Linked DNA regions of Mus musculus: all the other regions are reported to be linked to region 5. Evidence: microRNA targets listed by miRTarBase, many of them from high-throughput screens and not tested one by one. Region 5 holds a microRNA gene; each other region holds the end of a gene's coding sequence.
Evidence for each region. Region 5 holds the annotated microRNA mmu-miR-5135 (AGGUCUAGGUGGCAAGGGCGUCCU, at 2,157-2,180, opposite strand). A microRNA usually pairs through its seed, bases 2 to 8, with sites in the 3' UTR of a target mRNA and lowers its output. Matches are read on the target gene's strand: a 7mer-m8 pairs with bases 2 to 8, a 7mer-A1 pairs with bases 2 to 7 and ends in A, and an 8mer does both.

Region 1: the mRNA of Luc7l2 is a reported target of mmu-miR-5135. The part of its 3' UTR that is shown has no 7-base or 8-base seed match.
Region 2: the mRNA of Xrcc2 is a reported target of mmu-miR-5135. Seed matches in the 3' UTR shown: 7mer-A1 at 2,147-2,153.
Region 3: the mRNA of Paqr5 is a reported target of mmu-miR-5135. Seed matches in the 3' UTR shown: 7mer-A1 at 994-1,000.
Region 4: miRTarBase lists Mdc1 as a target of mmu-miR-5135. Seed matches in the 3' UTR shown: 7mer-A1 at 2,589-2,595.

What each region holds. Positions count from the first base shown.
Region 1 is chr6:38,607,658-38,612,117 of GRCm38, reverse strand. Luc7l2 (LUC7-like 2 (S. cerevisiae)) reads right to left here. Exons shown (of 10, transcript NM_138680.3): 10 at 2,648-3,965. The coding sequence ends at 3,788. Among named protein-coding and RNA genes, the nearest start is that of Klrg2, 27 kb to the left of the region's middle.
Region 2 is chr5:25,688,158-25,692,617 of GRCm38, reverse strand. Xrcc2 (X-ray repair complementing defective repair in Chinese hamster cells 2) reads left to right here. Exons shown (of 3, transcript NM_020570.2): 3 at 1-2,804. The coding sequence ends at 505. Among named protein-coding and RNA genes, the nearest start is that of Xrcc2, 15 kb to the left of the region's middle.
Region 3 is chr9:61,952,177-61,956,636 of GRCm38, reverse strand. It overlaps Paqr5 (progestin and adipoQ receptor family member V), which reads left to right. Exons shown (of 8, transcript NM_028748.2): 8 at 350-2,899. The coding sequence ends at 591. Among named protein-coding and RNA genes, the nearest start is that of Kif23, 7.6 kb to the right of the region's middle.
Region 4 is chr17:35,857,031-35,861,490 of GRCm38, reverse strand. It overlaps Mdc1 (mediator of DNA damage checkpoint 1), which reads right to left. Exons shown (of 16, transcript NM_001010833.2): 16 at 1,821-4,028. The coding sequence ends at 3,861. It overlaps Nrm (nurim (nuclear envelope membrane protein)), which reads right to left and starts at 173. Exons shown (of 4, transcript NM_134122.2): 1 at 1-173. The coding sequence starts at 106.
Region 5 is chr12:76,530,987-76,535,446 of GRCm38, forward strand. Mir5135 (microRNA 5135) reads right to left here and starts at 2,226; the gene lies at 2,148-2,226. It overlaps Plekhg3 (pleckstrin homology domain containing, family G (with RhoGef domain) member 3), which reads left to right and starts at 2,574. Exons shown (of 19, transcript NM_153804.4): 1 at 2,574-2,832.

The DNA of each region.
Region 1 (4,460 bases), not on the chromosome of region 5:
ATTCCAAAAGGACCTAACTCTCTCCTCCTTCCTCCATCCAACCCGGAAGTCCCTCGTACTCACCCAGTGATTGGTTCCTTTATTCACTAGATTGGTTCACAAGAACAGCACCAGGCCCGTCCACACTTCATGAGCCGTGTTCTTAACCCAAGTCCTCCCTCCAGCCCCCATATTCACAATTTTAAGGTACCAATATTTATTTTTATAGAAATAGAAAATTTTTAAAAAGGCCAAGGAGTAGGCAGCACATAAACATTGCCATTCAATGTACGGAAAATGTCTAACACCCTAAAAGGCTTACTGCTCAGCAGCAAGCCCTAATAAGGCTAACAGGTTATTTTTGCCTGTTTAATTCACATGAAGAGAACTGTACAGTGTCCTCTTTTGGGTCTAGCTCCTTCAGTTGAGTATATGAAGTTACTCATTGCTATATACATTAGCAATTATTTCCATTGTGTGGATGCACCGCAGTCTGATTTCTGGTTGATAGATCTTTCTAATATTTGTGGTTTGGGGTTACTATAAACACAACTGCTTTAAGCATTCAAATACAAATCTGTGGAGTCTCCTGGTTTTTTTTCCCCCTTGGGCAGCAAGACGACTGAACTGTGTTATGGACATGCCTAATTTATAAGCAGCAGCTGTGCCATTTTCAGTCCTTTTGGGGGTTCCAGTTGTTCACCACCTACACTAGCACTTGATATTGCTATACTGCCCCTCTGTGGGCCATTTCAGTAGGTATGCAGTGGTGTCTCAATGCTGATGGTCTCAGGTACTTTTTGTGTATGTGTCCATTGGTGTTATCTATTAGTGTGATTCTGATAAGGTTCAAATATAAAATCTTAAGAAATAGCCGGGCAGTGGTGGCGCACGCCTTTAATCCCAGCATTCATGAGGCAGAGGCAGAGATAGGTGGATTTCTGAGTTCGAGGCCAGCCTGGTCTACAAAGTAAGTTCCAGGACAGCAGGGCTACACAGACAAACCCTGTCTTGTCTTGAAAAACCAAAAAAAAAAAAAAAAAAAAAAGAAAAAATTGAAAATATACATAAAGCTCTTCTAATATTTAACATATTACACACTATTTTTATATGTATGTGGATATTTAACTGCATCATTTGAAATAAGTACCAAATATCATCTCTCACATAAATACTAAAAATAAGGTTTTTTTTAATGTAGTGCAAGTTTATCATTATATAAGTTAACAAGTTTTTTCCAGTCTATATAATCTCTCAGTTTCTCTATTTTTTCTTACTTTTTTCCTCCAAAGGGCAGGGTTTTTCTATTGTAGCCCAAGTTGGCCTCAGAATCATGGAAATTCTCCTGACTTTCATGTGTCTAGATAACAGGCATGAAACACCATGGCCAGCTAGTCAAAAATCTCTTTTAGATCTAATTAGACTACAAACACAGTTATTGGTTAACCTAAATCTTTGACTTTTTGAAGAAAAATTAGCCAGTTGTTTTGTAAAGTAACATACATTTAGAACTTACCTTATTTTCTATAAACTGGAATTTGGACTTCGATTCACTATAGGCCTATTTTTGAAATGGGTCCTTTATGTGATTTCAAAAACCACACTTTTACAAGTGTGCTTTGTATAAGGCTTACAAGCTGCTGAGGCTGGTGTTGAACTCCAAATCCACTCTTAGCTTCCGAACTACCCTCAATTGTGGGACCAGAGCACTCACCATGCCTTGCTCAGCAGCAAAAACTTTTGACAATATAATTTTCATAATGCTAGGAACTGAAACTGAGACATCAAACAGGAAATGGAAGTGCTTCAATCCAGCCCTCAAGTCATTTATACTGCACTTTCTTTGGGGGAAAATTCAGGAACCTAAAACACATATAACTCACACCCCAATTTTGCTAATTGATTTTTTTTCATGTTTTTCTCAGTTCAAAAGAAAAAGTTAAAGTAAAAAAGACTGTAACAATGGTGCTTTGGAAATAGGGCAACACCACGTACAGTTATCCTTCATAGATGTTGGCTTTGTCCCAGGCATTCCTGACAGTCTTTTATAAATGTGTTCACTTGGTAAACTGGAAACAGGAGTGCCCCTACCTGACCTTAAACTTGCCAAGCACATGCCTCAGCCTCACAAATGCATCAGCACTGAGATAATGGGCATAATTTATCATGCTTTTGTTCCTTTCTGCTGTTAAAAAAAAAGTTTAAACTACACCCGCTGGTCTGTGCCTATGTTCCCAATATTTAGAAGGCTGAGACAAAAAGTTTGCAATTCAAGGCAAGCCAAGGATACATGAACAAGATCTCATCTCTAAAACTCAAGAATAATCACACAAATGGCCATTATTTTTCTGCTCTTTCACATTCACAAACGGTCAAATACCTGTCATTAAATTTTGGGAACTGCCCTCCACCACCAACCACCCCGAAATAGTATTTTAACTGGGTTTCATTGTACACATCTATAATCTTGAGCAGTGAGGCAAAGGCTCAATCAAAGGTCAGGAGTTCAAAGTCATACCCTGTTAACACAGTGAATTCTAGGTCAGCTTGCACTACATGAGATCTTACCCTTCAAAAAGTGATCTTAATATATACTAACTTTACTAGTTAATATATTATTTCCCCTATATTCTAGAAGAACAAAAGGTGTTTGTTAACTACTAGGTAGTCAGTAGGTAATTAGATCTTTAATGCAGAAACTGCTGTTTCAGTATGTTGGTTACATATGGTTTTTATTCAGGCTTGTCAATTAAGAAATACAAACCAAGCAACTCTTAGTTGCTTCTACAGGTTCACTCTTTCCTTACAGAAGCTGCTCACTACAGCTCTGAAGTATAGTATAGGCAGCAAGAGATTTGGGTGGAGCAACAATTCATCTGAAATCCAGAGTTAAATATTTACTTCCTTTGGTGCCTTATACAGAAAGGCACTGTTAAGATGTTACAAAATAGAAAATAACCACAGCAAATAGTTCTAGTGGCAACTTACTATCAACAAGTTACAGTGGTGGTGATGATTCTTTTCATTTTTTTTACAATTATAGTCTTTAAACTCTACACACACACACACACACACACACACACACACACACACACACAAGTGCTATTATGAAATAGTCCCTGCCCCCCCACCCCCCTCAATATACTGAACATAGCAGTTTCTTAGAACAAAAAAAAAAAAAAAAAATCAAGGCAAGTCTGATTTCAAATTTTCAATATAAAAGCAAAAGTATGTAATGCAACAGCTGTTCAACTTCCAACTCTATAGGCCCCTAACAAAACAGCCCCGTGTTTAAATGTCTCCAGCACACAATCCAGTAGAAATGCTCAACTGTAATCAACTAATAACCAACGTGAACAGAACCTTAGAAAAGAAGTTACAATACTTCCCTTCACCCTCTCCTCTTATAGTTGGAGGAACAGGTATCAGGAGATATAAAAGTCAAAGGAAGAAGAATTATAATGGAAAAAAAAAATCCTAAAGCTGCTGCTGTTTGGAATAGAAAAGAAGACAATATTTTACAAATGTTCAAAAACTGCAAGACATTAACACAATTCATTCACTATCACTCCTAACTTGAAAGAATAGAGAACAGTATCTCATCATATAAACTGTTATGTTCAGGTTCACAAAAAACTATGGATGTAGTTTTAGGCTTTATGAAGGAAAACAGGTTCAGTTCAAATCATTGGATACTATACATCTAGTCTGACTGGATCGGTGTCTAGAACTGTCACCCTTTACAACTATAAACAATAGCATGTAACTCCATGGGAAGCTTAAGGATTGAAGATATGTACACAGCTAGTTAGATCTCCCCTGCTTCACGCTCTTCAGAGCTCCTCCTGTCTTCTGATCTGCCATTAGCACTCTCATAGGACCGCTTCTTATCTTTTCGATCTCGGTCACGAGGTGATCTGTCTCTTGAACTCCTGTCTCTGTCACGTGATGCTAAGTCTTGATCTCTGAATCTTTCTTTTGAGGATCTGAAAAATATTAATTTGAGGAGCAAAATATGTTGGGACACCCAAAATCCAATGAAAGAATAGGATCAATATTTTCTGATAGCTGAAGAAATAGGTAAGAATATATCTGAGAAGAGAGTTTCTTATAGAATAGAGTCCTACTATACAGCTGAAAAGGGCACCAAAACAAAATTGGGAAGAACAAATAGCTATACAGTTAAGGGCAAAAGAGCCTAAACTAAACAATGTATTCTTAGTATTTCAGAGATAAAGTTTCTTCAACTAATAAAAAGGCATTTAGTATAAAAACAATATATAAGTAATTGCTTTTATAAGTGAAAAGTATCAAGATTCCAAATTGGATGGAAACCAATGAATTTGTACAGCAGTCATCTCTTGTGCTAAATAAGGATTTGAAGTGTTGTAAATTACAAGATCAGGGTGTATGAGTTATTCTTTTCTATCAACTTTAAAAATGACAGAAATGCAAAACCATCCATAGCTTTCTGGTTTTAT
Region 2 (4,460 bases), not on the chromosome of region 5:
CCTAGCCAGGTTGTTCCTGGCGTACTGCAGCAGCAGCATGCAGTTACTGCTCACGCTGCACTCCCTGGAAGCCCTGCTCTGCAGTCGCCCCTCTCTCTGCCTTCTCATTGTGGACAGCCTGTCGTCTTTTTACTGGATAGACCGAGTCAGTGGAGGAGAGAGTGTGGCCCTGCAGGAGTCAACGCTGCAGAAGTGCTCTCAGCTCCTAGAGCGGCTTGTCACTGAGTACCGCTTGCTGCTTTTTGCGACAACGCAGAGTCTAATGCAGAAAGGCTCAGACTCTGCAGACGGGCCTTCTTCCTCCAAGCACCCATGCGATGGAGACATGGGCTACAGAGCCTATCTCTGCAAGGCCTGGCAGAGGGTCGTGAAGCACAGGGTCATCTTCTCCAGGGACGACGAGGCCAAGAGCAGCCGGTTCTCATTAGTTTCACGTCATTTAAAAAGTAACAGTTTAAAAAAACACAGTTTTATGGTCAGAGAAAGTGGGGTGGAGTTTTGTTGATCTCTATCATCAAAAAGGCTTTTAGGTGCACTAAGGCAAGTCTTTAAAAGTCCTTTATAGGCTAAAGTGGTTTGATTCTAAAGTTTGTAATTCTGGGGAAATTAAATAGTACAGAAAAACTCGAAGCTGTTCTGTCCCCTTCAAGGTGTGGAAGGTCAGTCAGAACATGCTAAACTCCACCGAGCTTGTCTTGAAGCTCAAACCATGATACACATTTCAGACTAGGTCACTTTCTGCATACTTTAGGAAGGGTTCACCGCTGGTCCCTTGGCTCCTAGAGGCTGTGGCTGGAGAGAGTGCACAGAGCTGTTACTCTAATCAAAGGAAGACACACAGGGCCACCAGCTCATCTGCCTCCCTCAGGAAACTGGAATGAGCTGGGTGTGCTGACAGGTGGCTCTCCGTGAGCTCAAAGCTTGTCTGATCTAGATAGTGAATTCCAGGATAGCCAGAGCTACATAATGAGGTCCTGCTTCAAAGAGCTACTCAGGAAACAGATAGCTAGGTAAATAGATGAGACTAGAATGTTCGAGTCTTCCTCCTTCCTCTCGCCCATTTTTCTTCTTTCTACCTGCTCCCCTTGTCCCAAGGATGTCCTATAGTTCAGGCAAGTCTTCATCACATTTCTGCCTCTGAGGTAGCCAGGTAAACAATGTTGCTCCTTGGAGCTGAGAATTCTGATAAGTTGCACTTGAAGATGAATGTCTATGATTTGGGGTTCTGTGTAATTTTTCACACACAGGGAAATGATGTACTCACTTTCGAATTCGGAAGTTCATTTTGGAATGTTCATCTCACTAATTGATAGATCTGAAGAGTTATACTAGATGCCTTGGAACATCTAGGCTGTTATTTCCAGCTGTGCGCTGAGGGAGACTTGGCACTGCTCAGGAGGTGTCCTAGTGAAGATTACTGTTGTCATGACCAAGCACTGTGAGCAAAAGACTGTTGGAGAGGAAAGGGTTTGTTATAAGGTTTACACTTCTCTTGTATATTGTAGTCCATATTTGAAGGAAGTCAGGACAGGAACTTAGGAAGGGCAGGAACTTTGAGGCAGGTGTCAATACAAAGTCCATGGAGGGTGCTGCTTCCTGGTTTGCTCCACGATTGATCATAATGCCTACTGCCTGATCTTATGGAGACATCTTCTCAACTGAAGCTCCCTCCTCTCTGGTGACTCTAGTTTGTGTCAAGCTGACATAAAACTAGCCGGCACAGAGTACCTGTAGGAAGAAGGCTTTAGAAAATCCCTTTACATCTTCTGACCCAGGGAAAGGCCCACATGTGAGTTCAGACTAACTGCTATTCTCAAACCTGTTAATGCCTATGTCACAAACGATCCTGTTTCCCTTTGTTCTTGTGGCTTTGTTCACTCATTACCACAGGTTTATGAGTTAAAAAGCATCCTGTTGAGAAGCTGAGACTAAAGTTCTTCACTATGAAGGCACAGCCATGTAACTTGCTGTCTGTGCCCTACCTGTGTCCCTGGGCCTGCTTGTATTTACCCCAGGGCTTCTGAGGCTGTGTTCTGTGCCTAGAGCCTGCTGGCCTGCCTGCGGGCTGAGCTGGACAGTCCTTTTGTTGTTTTTTTTTGAGACAGGGTTTTTCTCTGTAGCCCTGGCTGTCCTGGAACTCACTCTGTAGACCAGGCTGGCCTCGAACTCAGAAATCCGCCTGCCTCTGCCTCCCAAGTGCTGAGATTAAAGATGTGCGCCACCACCGCCCAGCCTGGGTTGGACAGTCCTTAAGCAGAGAAGGTAGGAGCTGACTTCCTGACTTCCTCAGCCACTGCAAGGTGGACAGCCAGTTACTTCAGTAATGCTTCCCTCGGGGTATCATGCTCCCCAGTTAACTCTTCTCAAAGACTAATCAGTGAGAAGGAAGACTTTTTAACCCAGGGTCTCACTGTGTAGCTCCGGCTGCCCTCCTAGTTGCAGGCATTAAAGATGAGTTCTGGTCTGCTTGGCTCATTATTATAATTTAAAAAATAGTTTGGCATTTCTAGGAGCCAGTCTTACAGCAGACATCCCATTCTCTGGCTCTTATAGTCTTTCCGCCCCTTCTGAGATGCTACAGCCCTGAGCCTTGATGCAGGATGTACTGTAGACAGATGATGGGCCGGGCATCTCATGCTCGCTTGTTCCCTTCATCTTGATCTCTGTGGTTTTCTGTAATGATTTCTGTGGCAAAGAGACATTTCTTTGTTGAGGAATGAGAGCTATACTTAATCTTTGTATATTTACAATGCACAGAGGAATTATGCTGCTTTAATAAAGTGGTTTATTAATACAATTTAAAACATTTCTATATTTCATATTTTCATTGTTTTCATTTAAAAAAATTGTTGTGTGTACCAGCAAGGGTGTGGAGTTCAGAGGACAGCTCTCAGGATTGGTTCTCCCCTGCCATCTTGTGGGGTTCAGAGGTCAAACTCAGAACTACACATATGCACCTCTACATGTCACGCAGGAATAATTTATTAATTATTCGTAATTTCCTGTATGGAATCTGTCACTTTTACAGTGCTGTTCTCCCATAGAAGACGTGCAAGGCAGTCTCTCCCCTCTCAGCCCTATAGCCTGGTAAAGTGTGTGACAAGCAGCTTTGCAGGGCCTAGCAGAGCTCTACCCTTGATGTGATGTGATTTCCCTATCCTTTAATGGACTGGGTTATTCAGGACCATGACTAAAACATAACAAGTTTCTATTGTAACCTAAATTATCAATTGCATAGTAATGTGCCAGACCAAAGACTTAGTTAACTTGGAAAGATTGCTGTCTGGCCTGATGGATGAAATTAAGAATACTGATTGATAAAAAAATTTTCTTTTAAACTAACGGTTATGCTAATGGAACTTAATGAGCAACATGGAAATTCCAATGCCTGTGGGGAGAAGGGGGCTTAAAGAGAAGGAAGAGGTATGTTATAAATTATATAGATAGCAGATGCAGGATGCTAGATAGGACCAAAAGAATAATATAAGTGAGTGGCTACAGGTCTTAAAATATTGATCCTACTTACCAGGGGATGGGGGAGTCCTTACCTGACCTTAGGGCCATGGTAAGAACCTTGTTATAAAAAGGCATGCTTAGTCCAGACATTCCTTTTGAAAGATACTTAAGAGACCTGAGCTAGCACGGAGCCTGTTTGTGGAGGGAGGCAGGTGACATGTAGCCCAGGCTGGCCTTCCACTCACAGTAGTTGCTCTACCCTTTCACTTCCTTCTGTATGTCTTGATTTCAGCCCTTAGCGGTAAAGCCCACATTCACACACACCCATTGCTAGACAAGCTTTGTTAGAGGGAGAAAAATGATTCCAGAAGTCAAGGCTGTCTTGGTGCCTTGGTATATTGCATGCTGTGTGGCCCTGAGGGCTTGAGTGTCATCCCTAGAACCCATTTAAAAAGCCAGGTATGGCAGTGCCCATTCCCAGCGCTGGGAAGGTGGAGACAGGCTGAGCCCCAGACCCATGAGAAAGATCCTGCCTCAAACCACAGTGATGGTGCTTGAGGGATGATGTCTGAGGTTGACCTTTGACCTCTAATCACGTGCCTGCCTGCACAGATGTACACATAAATACGCAAGAAACCCTGAGGTGTTGAATAGTGCGGAAAGCCAATGGAAAACACATCGTTACTAAGAAATTAATGACAAACAGCCACTATTAGCCCAGAATACCCGCCAACAGCCATTAATGCTAGTATTACAAGGCTTATGTTGCTTATTTAAACTCTTCCCCGTGTGCGTTTAGGGAGAATTGCACTGCCTGTAATAGCTGAATATGTACGTGTAGACTTATTTGTTTTCTTTTGTTTGTCTTTTTGAGACAGGGTCTCACTAAGTAGCCTTAGCTGGCCTGGAACCTTGTAGATGGAGATCTACCTGCCTCTGCCTTCAAGTATTAGGATTAAAGGTGTAAGCTACCACGTCCCTGCCCAGAGAGTATGTAGTGTTTT
Region 3 (4,460 bases), not on the chromosome of region 5:
GCAGTCTCAAAATGCCAGAATCAGTGAGACCAAACAAAATTATACATGTGATTTCTTGGCTGGCTCCTTGCAGTCCCATGTTACCATCCATATTATAGCCTCTGTGTGTCCATATACTTGTTGACTGATGACTCCTTAGCACTTAATTTACATATGTGTGTGTATGTATGTATGTATGTATGTATGTATGTATGGGTGTGCACAAGCCATGACATGCAGAGGTCAGAGGACAATAGTGGGAATGGTTCCTCTCCTGAGGGTCCCCTTGGTGGCAGCGGGAGTCTTCACCCACTAAGCTGTTTCTCTGGTTCTGACTGCTAATCTCGATGTCCATTTCTGTTTGCCATAGGCCACAGTCACCAGCTGTTTCATGTGTGCGTCATCCTGGCCACACACTTGCAGATGGAAGCCATCCTTCTGGACAAGACCCTGAGGAGGGAGTGGCTCCTGGCCACCTCCAGACCCTTCTCTTTCCCTCAGATAGCAGCGGCCATGCTTCTGTGCATCATCTTCAGCCTCAGCAACATTATTTATTTCTCAGCTGCTCTGTATCGGATCCCTGAGCCTGAATTACATGAAAAGGAAACATGACTTCAGAATGTGCCAGGCTTTGGTGTTAGCAGTTGGTGTGGTGCTGGCTTACAGTGGCCAAAAGCATTCGTAGCAACTGATGTCTTGACATTTTTTTAATGGGTTCATATCGGAAAAAACAAAACAAAAAGGATTTAATTGGGCAGAGTTCTCTGCACACACACAGATTCTGTATGTGTTCTGTAAAAGGTAGAATTTGAGCATAAGTCCTGGATAAGGATAAATATTAAGTTTAAAACTTATTTAAAATGGGGTGTTTAGGGCCTGGAGGTGTAGCTCAGTTGGTAAGTAGTTGCCTAGAATATTCAGAGCCCTGTTTTTGTTTTGTTCTTTATTTTGGGTTGTTGTTTGTTTGAGGCAGGGTCCCACTATGTAGCTCAGGATGTCCTGAAATTTACTATGTAGACCAGGCTGGCTTTGAACTCACAGAGCTCTGCCTGCCTCTGACTCCTGAGCGCTGGATTAAAGGTGTGTTGCCAAGACACTGAAGCTCTGGTTTTGATCCTCAGCACAGCAGAACTTGGTCCTGTGGCTCATGTCTATAATTCCAGCACCAGGGAAGCAGAATCAGAGGGTCAGAAGTTTAAACCATCCTCGGATGCATGAGATTGTATCTCTAAAAACATAGTTCTCAATTCTATTCCAACAGTTATATTAAGCATACTGCCCTGCCTCTCTAGTTTTTGTATTGATGTTTAAAAACAGCAGAGGCTACATTTGATGAACTTTGTATAGCTAAGCTTTTTCCCCCAGATGAGTGAGATGGTTCAATGAGTTAAGAAGCTTGCTGCCAAGGCTGACAACAGGAGTTCGATCCCCAGGACCTGCTACAAAGTATTCTACAGTATCGATAAGGTGTGATGGCCTCTGGAGCTCATTGATGCCATCCCAGCTGTTAGGGCTCCCTGTCCCTTTTTCAAGCAATGGAAGAGCTGTCTTTGGAGACATCCCATGCCTGACATTGGGTTGGCATGCCAAGATGCTGCCAGACTTAGTATTTATGCAGAGGGTGTTGACCTCACCAGTGGGACAGTCAAATGTCCTGTCTTCAACCTTTCCTGTGACACAGAAACACACAGGTGGGTAAGCTTGTGACATGCATTTCCTGGGGTAAACTAGGGCTTCTGCTTTCCTACACCAAATGTAGGAAGTGTGGGAAATGTAGACAGCAGCACTTCCCCAGAAGCCCAGCACAGGAGGGAGGAGGCAGATGCTGAAGACATTTGTGCTGTCTTTCATTTACAACTTGATCAAAGCTCCAGCAACTTGCCATCTACATGTGTGTCCCTGTTTTCTCTCCAGGATCTTCTACTATTGATATTTTTTTAACTGGTTAAATGAAAATGAAGTCCCATGGGTTAGACCCTAGACTAAAAAGTAAATAAAGCCAGGAAGCTTGAAGGCAAGGCTCTCGGACGTGCACACTGATTTTAAAATGCCAGCGTCCTGTGCGCAGACGAAGCGTGGTCAGCCGGCCTCCTGCCTGCCGGCCTCCTGACTGCTGGGCCAGCCTCAGACTCGGAATCTGTGCCTTCCCTACCATGCATGGTGGATGCCAATTTGCCTTCTGAATGATAAGCCCAACTAAATCCCTGCTTAAAAAAATTAAACAATAAAAAGAAATCACAAAACAGAACATCAAGAACAGCAAAAACCCAAAAGCCAACTCTGCTAAGGCCATAGCCTTGTGCGACAATCCCTTCAGTCTTCCACAGATAATACTTGTGCAGGACTTCTATCCAGAGCTGCCTGTCCACCCTTGGACCAACGTTACCTTGTTATTGATGCTTATAACCAAATACTGCTGTGTTCTTATACAACATGGCATCTTCCTCATTTTGCCTTAAAAATATCACCTTATAGAGTGGAGATGGCAAGATGTGCAAGCATCAAGGTGAGTTTAGCCCCCACGTACAACACGGAAACCTAGGTGTGGCTGCATATACCTGTAACCACAGCATTGGGAACAAAGATAGGCAGGTGCTGGTAGCTCACTGGCCAGGCATCCATACAGAGCAGCTTAGTGAGAGGTCCTGTTTCAGCAAGGTGGGGAAGCAATGGAGTAGACATTCTGACATCAGCCTCTAGTCCTAAGCGCATAAGCACGGGTAAGTGTGTCCAGGCACACTCACCCTTGCCTAGACTCTGTATGTGCACTTCACTTACCAGCACGAGTGCAGCTATCACAGATCTGTTCTGGATTAATTTGTTGTCTTTGGAGAAACTCTGTTATTTAGGTTCATGATACCAAACACGCCAATCCCTTGTTTGTTGCATTTGTAATTAAAGTTCAGCGTTTTATAGTGTTTTCAGGGAGTTCAGGAATGCTGATACAAAACAAAATTTAACAGAGGCTCACCAGCCTCTGATCTGTACCTGGTAATGACTTTGGGGGGCTGTCCATCACAATGCTGGATATTCTTTGTTGACTCTGGAATATCCTCTTGTCCTATAACACACCCTCCAGGATTAAGCAGCTCAGCTATGTCAATGACCTTGCCAGCAGCCCATAGCCTCACCCTCTAATGACAAGGACCAATTATATTTTGGATGTGAGTGGTCAAGAAATAAGGTTTCATTATTTTAGTATCAGTTATCTTCCCCTGCGGAAGGATTTCATTATTTTAGTATCAGTTATCTTCCCCTGGGGAAGGGAGAGTGAGTGATACAATTATATAGGCTGGTAAATTTCTGGTACATTAATTGCAAACTGCATAACAAATTTTGTTCTTTAGCAATAATCTGACACTCTCAGTGGCATCCCTATCTACTGCACATTTCCCACAGCCCCCGTTTTAGTGTGTGTGTGGGGTGGGGGGGGAAGGTATAAAGTTGGGCTGTGCTTGTTTGTGGCTCAGATGGTAGAGTTTTGGCCTGGCATGCATGAAGCCCTTGGCTTTGATACTAAGCACTGCATAAGCTGGGCATGGTATACATGCCTGTGATCCCAGCATTTGGGGGATGGGGACAGGAGGATCCGGACAGATTCAGCTTCGCAGTGAGTCCAAGGCCAGTCTGGTAGTTAGATAGTTAACAGTGATCACAGGCTGGGCGTGGTGGTGCATGCCTTTAATCCCAGCACTCGGGAGGCAGAGGCAGGCCGATTTCTGAGTTCGAGGCCAGCCTGGTCTACAAAGTGAGTTCCAGGACAGCCAGGGCTATACAGAGAAACCCTGTCTCGAAAACCAAAAAAAAAAAAAAAAAAAAACCAAACAAAAACCAGTGATCACTCAAGTTCAGTGGCCCTCAACTGGTGGGTCACAACCCTGTTGCAGGTCAAATGACCCTTTTACAGGGGTTCCCCAAGACCACTGGAAAAACAATACCAAAAACAATAGGTGCAGGGCTGACACTCTGGAAAAGAGATGAGGGAATCCTGCAAGGCCTGCCTTTGCGGGCCTACTGCTGGCTGGGCAGATAAGTAGGGAAAAAAAAAAAATCTCTGCCAAGGAAACAGACCTAGGGAGCTGGGAGAAAAGGTAGCCCAGAGGATTGCATGGCCAGTCTGATAAGCCGACAGCTCTGTGGAGGCTTCAAAGGGCCACAGGAGCCAGACTGGCTGGTGACTAGTGGGCAGACACTTTGTGCCTTGGGGCCAGCAGAGAAGGAGAGGAGTCAGGCCAGTCCTTCCAGGATTGTCCAACGCACTGTGGGAGACAATGACAGCAACCGATTGTTCTCTGGAGAGAGTGCCCCAGGGCTTTCCTGAGCTGCTCTGTGAGCTATGTGGAGTTAGGTAATCAAGTACCCCGGGCAAGGCAGTAGCTGCGGCTATCTTGTCGAAGCGTCTGCTTTCTAGAACTGGCTCTGCTTCAGCCTCCTCGAAGAGTAGATGAAAAGGAGCTCAAAGATACCTAAGTTCACCCTGT
Region 4 (4,460 bases), not on the chromosome of region 5:
CAAGCAGCGGCCTCAGGGAGGTGAAACGCACGAATTCCACTCCGGTGCCAAAGGCCAGGATGAAGGAGGCGAGGGCCGCAGGAACCAGCAGCAGCGCCGGTGCCATGGCGAGCAGCGCGGAGCCTGAGGAGAAGGCGGGCTCAGGGTTCCCGCGACTGCTGGCCCTGCCCAGGTCCCGCCTCCTTGGGGGTGCTGGCGGCAAGGCGGGGACCGCGAGCGGCGCGTCACAGCGCGGAGTTGGAATCCCAGGCGTCGTCAGGGCAGCTGGTCTGCGGCTACCCTTGTGGGTCGAATCTCAGCGCTGTCAGTGTTCTCGAGGAAAGTGAAGACAGAGCCTCCCTTGCGTGGAAACATAAAGAACATCTTGTTTTTAAAGATAATCACTCCTTATTCTCCAGCCTCAATCCCTGATGTGCTGGGGTTACAAACGGCGCCACCCCGCCCAACATAGATTTTTGTATAGTGACCGTTTTAGAGCTGGGTGTGGTGGCTCGTGCCTGTAATTCCAGTACTCGGAAGGGTGAGGCAGGAGAATTTGAAGTTAGCTTGGACTGCATATGGAGACCGGTTCCGAAAAAGCCATTAAAAAAAAAAAGAGAGAGAGAGAGACAAGGTCGGGAGATGGTGGCATATGGATCTCCAAGTTCCAGGCCAGCCTGGCCTATATAGTCAGTTCTAGGATAGCCAAAGGCTACACAGAGAAACCCTGTCTCTAAAACCAAAGACCGAGTAATGAAAGGCTCAATCACCATAGCTATCCAAGTACAGGGTCCTCAGAAGACAAGAGCTGATTCTCTCAGATTACAGATAGAGCAAGGGCAGGGAGGCTGGTTGCTCCCAAGACGTCTGGACCAAGTTCTAATGCATTGTATAGCACTTTTCCTCCCCACCCTGATCTCTGCTTGGGAAATGTATTGAGTGGGCTCCATCTGTGAATGTTTTTGAAGAAGTTCTGTACTTACATTTATTTTGCCTTTATGTGTATTGATGTTTTGCTTGCAACTATGTGAGTGTCAGATCTTGGAGTAACAGTGGTGAGCTGCCATGTGGGTGCTGGTATTTGAACCCAGGTCCTCTGGAAGAGCCCAGTACCCTCAACCACTGAGCTCTCTCCAGCCCCCACTTGGACTGCTCAAAAAAAAAAAAATGTATATATATTTTTAATGGCAGAATCTAGCCAGGTGGTGGTACACGCCTTAATGGCAGAATCTTCATGTAGCGCAAGATGGCTTCGAACTTGCTGTTATGTAGCTGAGAATCATCTTGAGCAGATCCTCTTGCCTCTGCCTCCAAGTGCTGGGATTATGGCCTAGCATCACATCCTGGCTCCACTGATCTTCTAGACACTGTGAAGTGGTCCCAGAAGAGCTTATAGGTGGGAAACAAGCAGTTGACTATGTGTGGTTTCTCTTTAACCTGTTTCCTCCTTAAATCATAATGCAAGCTCTAGGGAGGCAAATGCCTAAGGCTCACTGTCCATCCAGCCCAGCCTAAGGGTGCCCCATGTCCCAGTGAGATTCCCTATCTCAAAGAAAAACAAAGTGGCCCGAGGAAAGACATCCAAGGCTGACTTCTGGCCTCCACAGGCATCAAATGAACAATGGTCTAGGACTACTGCTTAGCGGTGAAGCTTTTGAGCAGCATTTCAGGAAGCCTTAGATTCAACCCCCGGCACCACCAAAAAAGAAAAACCTTAAAGATCAAGCATATAACTGGGGTGTGAATGAGTTGTAAAGCAATTGCCTGTCATGAGTTGGGCCTCATTTGTGCCAACCACCAATAGTTCTCTAAGCTTATACATAATTCACTGCAGGAAAATATAAAGTAAGCAACTTTTTTATTGAAGTGAAATTCATAAAGCAAAAAAAACCCAACCCTTTTATACATTAGTACTTAATATTCTGCATTATGTACAATCACTTCCTCTTTCTGATTCCAAGTCTTTCAACTCCCCACAGGGGAACACTAGACCCCTTGAACAGCTTCTGTGTACTCATGGTCTGGCAAGCATCAATTTGCTCTTACCTTTGTGAATTCACACCACACTTTATATATTATTATGCAGGTGGAATCAAACCTGTCCCTTTTGTCTCGCCCTTGTGTTAGGGTGTCTTTGACCACCTTCAAATACTGTGTTTTCACTTCATGTCTGAACATTGCTTTCTGTGCAGACAGTATATATGCTCATCCTTGCTGAACAAAAATCTTCAGCTTTTCTATATTTGGAAAGAGGTGAGGGGCTGGGAATAAGGTTTAGTGGTAGAGGCTTTGCCTAGCATGCATAAAGGAAGGAAGCTCCAGGTTCAAGCCCCAGCCCAACCAAAAAGATAAAACATCAAGTGCTTTTCATTTTTGAATCTTTTGCAGTTTAGACTGAGCTGACCTTGGGGGCGGAAAAACAAAACAAAAACCCAAAAATCCACGATGAGCTTGAACTTCTGATCCTACTAGCCTTTACAGGGACTGCTGGGATTACATACCAAATGCATGTTTAAAAGTTTTCTTTGCAGCCGGGCGTGGTGGCACACGCCTTTAATCCCAGCACTCGGGAGGCAGAGGCAGGCAGATTTCTGAGTTCAAGGCCAGCCTGGTCTACAAAGTGAGTTCCAGGACAGCCAGGGCTATACAGAGAAACCCTGTCTCGAAGAAACAAAACCAAACAAAACAGAGTTTTTTTTTGCTTACAGAACAGTCTTGCTGGGTCATAGAGTGACCAGGCAGGCACAACGAGCACTGACTCACCTTACACATGTCCAGAGAAAATGGCAAAAAACAAACCAAAAAAAATTTTTTCCTTCTCTTTCGAGACAGGATTTACTCTGTTAACAGCCCTGACTGTTCTAGAACTCACTCTGTAGCCCAGGCTGGCCTTGAAATCAGAGCTCTGCCTGCGTCTGCCTCCCGAGTGCGCCACCACGCCCGACTCTCACGCTGTAGCCCAGGCTGAACTGGCACTGGTGAGCTTCCTACTTCAGCCTCCTAAGCACTGGGGCTACAGGCAATGCCCACGGCTAGCTCTGCTTACTTTGAAATAACTTTGCTACTGTTTACTGCAGAGGACAAGCCAAACACCAGCAGTATTCATGAGTTCTACTTTCTCCACATCCTGGAAAGTAGCCAACTTTAAAAAACAAATACAATTTACTCTAAATTAATAATAATAATAAATGAAGTGCAAGTTCAAATCCATTGTGTCTCCACACAGAAACCTGCCACCAAGAAGGCAGAGTGAGCACTGAGCTACTGGAGATGACCACAGCTAACTGCCAACACTGCAAAGCAGAGCAAGTACAGCAAAACTAAAGCCTTTCCTAGCCACACCCATGAGCTACCCTCATCTTCTCAACCAAGCACTCCTGGGAGCTGCTTCATGTTGAGTAGAACCCCGGGAAGTAAAGAGAAAATGCTGGCTTCTGGACAGGAGGTAGAGTCAGGGCACTGAGCCTGGAGCAGCTTCCTCGGAGCACAGCTGGGCAGATGGCAGGTGCTCGGTAGAGAGCCATACCCAGCTCAGGTGAGCCAACTAAAAAACTGGCTATCTTAGGAAAAAAGTTCCCTTTTTTCCCCAAAACATTTTAGGCCTTATTCACATTCCCCAAACAGTTACGATGATACAATATACCTTAGGCCTTTGTGAAACCCTGAGGTTTGTTGTTTGATTTGGTTTTTGAGATGGGGTCTCATTATGTACCTCTGGCTAGCCCAGAACTCAGAAAAATATGATTACTTCTGCCTCCCAAGTGCTGAGATTAAAGGTGTGAACCACCTTGCCCCGTCTTAATTGTGTATGTGTGTGTTCCTTTTTCCAAGTGTTTTCTAGGACTGTTCGATGGTCTGAGAAGGTAAAGGTACATATTTTTTTAGGTAGATGACATTTCCAAATTGGAGAGAACAAAGGCCTCTGGTGTGGCTTCCTGCTTCAGCACTCCAGTCAGGAGGAACTCAGGAGAGAGGAGGGGTAGCCCCAGGCGGGATGGAATAGCACAGCGTGGTAGGTCTTCAGTGCAAGTTATGATGACTCGGTGAAGCTGTGAAGAGACAGCAAAGACGGTTAGGAAGGAACTTTGAAACAGATGCAGGACCCATTAAGCTGTTTCAGAACTGAACCTACACACACACAACACACTCACGCAAACGTTCAACCTACCCTCCCCTGTCTTTGAAAAGGGTTTCATATAACTAACCCAAGCTGGCCTGCAATTTACTACATAGTTAAAGATAACCTTGAGCTTCTGATCCTCTTGTCCCCATTTCCAGAGTGCTGGGATTACAGGTAGGTATTATGTGTATTAGGTATCAAGCCCAGTTCTGTATATGCTAGGAAACAGGCTACCGACCAAGCTCCATTCCCAGCCCCCACTGCAGCTTTTATCATAATCTGCATGAGACACAGAATATAGTGGGATAAGATAAAAACGATGCAAACAAGGGAACACAGGAAAGTCCTGACTGAGGAATAT
Region 5 (4,460 bases):
TGTTTGGTTTTCTCATCCATAAACTAGGGAGAACACCTCCATTCTCCCTTCCAAGTGGAGGGGCTGAGATGATGAATTAATTTGTATTTGTTAGACACCCTGAGACCTCAGATTAAAGGCATTACTGAGACTCAAGGTGTTATTATAATAATAAATGATTTAATAGCAGGGCGAGGCCGCTCGCTGAAGCAAGAGCTGGTGGGAAGGCAGAAAGGCTCAACGCTGAGAAGGGGGCTGCGGCTCGGCTTGAGACCCTGGTCCTGACACTGACTCTTGGAGGCTTGGAGGTAGGAAACTGATTTTTTATAAAATCTTGCTTGTTTCATCTGGCTCCAGCATGGCCTTATTGAATGCTTCTTACAAGTTCTGCATAGTAAGATTACAATCTTTTCAGGAAATGGGCATATAAATTAAAGCAATTAGAAACAACTCGAGGCTTTAGAATCAAGTTCAGAATGGACTAACAAGTGTCTAGAAGGAAGTGGAGAAAGAGCTGGCTGGCTAAATGCAGTTTTCCCTGTGGGTAGAAACTCCCAGCTCTACCACCCACTAGCAGTATGACCAAGCCTCAGTTTCTCCTGTAACCGCAATTGTTCTTGTAAAATGCTCAAAGGTTAACACAGTAAGCACTCCAGTGTCGCCCCCTCAGACTACGCCCCTTGATGCAATTGATCTTGGCCAGACTGCTCCATCCTTAGAGCCTCAGTATTCTTCCTGCAAAATGGGAGTAAGTGTATTCCTGCCTTAGTGATTATAAAGTGCAGTGCACTTGGTAGCACCATTCCCTAACCATTACTATCATCAACATTTTATTTTTCTTTTCTAGCTAAGGAGCCAGTCATACATTCAAAAGTTTTAAATCTCTGGATTGGGGCTGGGGGACGTCTTTGGAAGTTGGGAGTTTAAGATTAGTAGGAAAGGACTGGTAAGATTTAACAGATTAGAGAAGAAACCAGAAACCCAGAAAGTTCGAGGTGGGAAGGAGTGGGGCTTCTCCCTTTCCCATCCCACCCCGTAGTTTTATCTCTCTCCCCCGTTCCCGGGTAATCTTGTTTCTCACCAGTGCTGTCCTCTAGTCTGCCGCTCTTCAAGCCTAACCTGTGGACTAAGTAACGTGAGCCTTACTTTCTGGCCCTCCCGCAGTCAGGAGCAAGGACTACTTTAATCTTTACTCTTCCCAGGGATCCCGTTTCAAAGTCACCTGAAAGCCATTTCCTCTCTCTCTGCCCCGCCCCTCCCCGTAAATCACTAGGTGCTTGCTTTTCCCTGGGGCAGCTTTTTTTTTTTTTTTTTTTGAGGGCAGTGGTGGAGGAGGGGATTTTATAAGCTATTTAGGATTTTCACTTGTCTACACTTGGCGGTCTAAATGCTGAGTTACTGGGGTCGATTCTCCATTCCTGTTCCAAGAACCTGGTGCCATCGTTTAACGCAGGAGTCCTACTTCTTCTGTGATCTCACACTGGGCTCCCATCTCCTACCCCTCTTCATGGTGCGTACTGGGGACAGCATCTAATGCTACCTCCCCTAAGATCTTTACCAATGAAAGATTTATTCTTAGTGAGGTGTAGTAGCGCACACCTATAATTCTAGCACTCTGGGGGATCACTCAAGAGTTCTGGGCTAGCTTGGGCTACAAAGTGTGGGCCTGTTTCAAATCAAAAAATAAAATAAAAACAATAATTAGGGCGTGGTGGTGCACACCAGTAATCCCAGCACTCCGGAGATAGAGGGTGGAGAACCATTACTCTCAAGATTACCCTCTGCCAGTCTCAGATAATTGAAATCCTGCTTCAAAAACAAAAACCACACAAAAGATTTATGTTCTTGCTCAAAATCTAACTGGTTTGTATTCTATGTGCTTGTGCTAATCATCCCCCAATTTTCCCATCCCCTAATTTCCCGGTACATGCCTTTTGTTGATAGATCGCACTCAAAATGGGGTCCACTGACATTCAGGTTCCTCGATCAGTTTTTCTCATTAACAGTCCCACTGAGCGCCGCGCCCCGCCCCGCCCCAAGTTATGCGCTTCTTATCTCTTTCTCCTCAGAAGGTAAGATTTTACAACTGTAAAGAGCCACCGAAACCTAGTTTCGGCGAGGAATTCGAGACGTGCCTTTCTGACTCAGCGGTCGTGGTGACCTGCTCCAGTAGGACCAGGACGCCCTTGCCACCTAGACCTGCGCTTCTCCTGGGAAAGTCTAGGTGGCTGGGCTCCGAGTCCTCTCTGGTCGGAACCTGGTCTGGAGGCTTTCGTTGCCCTCTCGGCGTGATATCAGGGCGGTGGCACTAGAGTAACCCCACCACGTGCGCCTTGGGATCCCAGAGTTCCAGGTGGCAAGGGGAGGCGGCCAGCGGGACCCACACGGCGGGCCACGCGCGTTAATCATTAGCCACGGCGGCCGCTGTCTACAGCGGGAGCCACAGCTCGCTCGCACCGCCGCGAAGGTTCCCCCGGGCCCCCCAGAGCCGCCAATTGCTGGATCGCAGCCGCGAGCGCAGTCTCCACCCACTGGAAACATTCCTGGTCCGCCCCTCCCTGGCTCCCTCCCTCTCCCTCTCTCTCTCCCTCCCTCCCTCCCGCCGCAGCCTGGACTCCGGCCGCAACTTCCTGCCCGGTGCTGGGGAACCGTGCGCATTTCGGGGGTCCCCCGGCGTCTGGTGCTCGCAGCGAGCAGAGGCTGGGACCGCGGGGCGGCCAGCCGTGGGCGGGAGCGGCCGGCGGCCTCTGCCGCTTCCGAGAGCGACTTTCAAACTCGAGCCCGCTTCGCGGCGCCACCTGGGCAGCCCCGCGCGCCTGGCGCGTCGCGAGCCGGCGGGGCGGCCACCGCTTGGTGAGTGTCCCTAGGTTTGCCTTTCTCTCTTTGCCCATGCTCGATTGGCTGAGTGGCAGCGCTCTGCGGAGACCCCAGGCTAGCCCTCTGTGGGATGAGGACCTGGCCCCGAGCTGCCTCGGACACACTCGGAGGAGGTTGGGTCGCGGGAAGGTCGTAAGGGGAGTCACTTTTTATCCCCACCCCGGAAACCAAAGCAGCATAGGCTTTGCAGAGTTTGAAATCCGGGCAGCTCTCGACATTCCCGCCACCCCTTCCTTGTGTGCCCTGACGCCCGTGGGCTAGTGCTTGCCTGAGACTGTGGGCTCTTCTAGAAGGACTCGCCTCTGGTCCCGCCAGCCCAGGAGTGCGCAGGCACTCAGTCTGTTCTGGGTTGGTGCCACACCGTGCTTCTGGGAATCTCAGCTGCATGTCCAGGAGGATTAGAGTGGGTGTCAGAAGCCAAGTGTCCAGGAGCTGCAAATCTAGAGCCCCTTGATGCTGCCCCTAACAGCCTCTCCTTCACTCCCTTCAACTGGTTTGGTTATTCACACCCTTCTCTCAGACCTTTGATTTGGGAAGCTTCAAGCTTCAGTCGTTCAAGATGCTCCTTTGGTGGTAACGATTTATTCTGCGGCTACTTTTGAAAACAAAGGGGGGAAAAAAAAACCGGAACAAGCCGCATGATGGTTGGAGGGTGGAGAAAGCGGCGCTGCGAGGTGGTGCTAAAAGTTGGGTGAGAGTATATCGTCTAGAGTCGCTAAACTCTTGGTAGATTAAGGGCTGTTAAGATTGTTAACCCTCCCAGCAACCGATCAGTACTAGAGCACCTTACAGAGAACCCTAGTCTTAGGGTTCCCAGTCTTCCAAACTGTGCTTGTTCAAGAGTGCATTCCAGTCACAATGAACCCTTCAGAAATAATTAGTGTGGAGTAAAATGACAGCCTGAGAGGGAGAGGCGATGTTCCCTGCTGTGCCTGGCCTTCCCCAGTCCCTCTGCTAAACTGGAATCTTGTGTTATAGATGCTCAGCATAAAACCTAGGGACTAAATACCAGAAAGCCAACTGTGGCGCTGCTGTTATTCCTTATGGTTCTGGGCTCACTGGATGGCTCACAGACCCCATCTCTCATGTAGACAGACTACTAAATGCCTGCTTGCCTCTGCTGGCCGCACTCTCTGGACTTTCCCGCTGGTGCTGGAAATCCGCTTTCACCCCTTCACTTAGTCTGGGCTGATAAGGGTGGTAGTCTGTTTTAGAGTGGCCTTGGGGCTTTTCTATTGACTTTTTATCAGAGGTGGCCCGACTAGGAGAGTGGGAAGACCACTGGGCTGAGAGTCCGACAGGATTTTTGCTAGAGGTTTAATGCTGGCTGTATTGCGTCACATCAGAGACTGATCGGGTCTGAGGCTTTTTTTCTTACATGATTGGCCTGAAGCCAGATCTCACCCTCTCCTCACTCACTTATCTTTTCTGACTCAGTTTCCATACAGAGCAGCCTTTTTTCTTTATAGGGGATGTGGTAACAATAAAGGGGAGAAGGGTGTATGAGAAGTAGTCCATAAACTCCTATCAAAAAAAAAAAATAGCTGTGTAGTGGCTACAAGGAGCCCTTACATGTTTGCTGGTTATACCCCATGTGTGACACA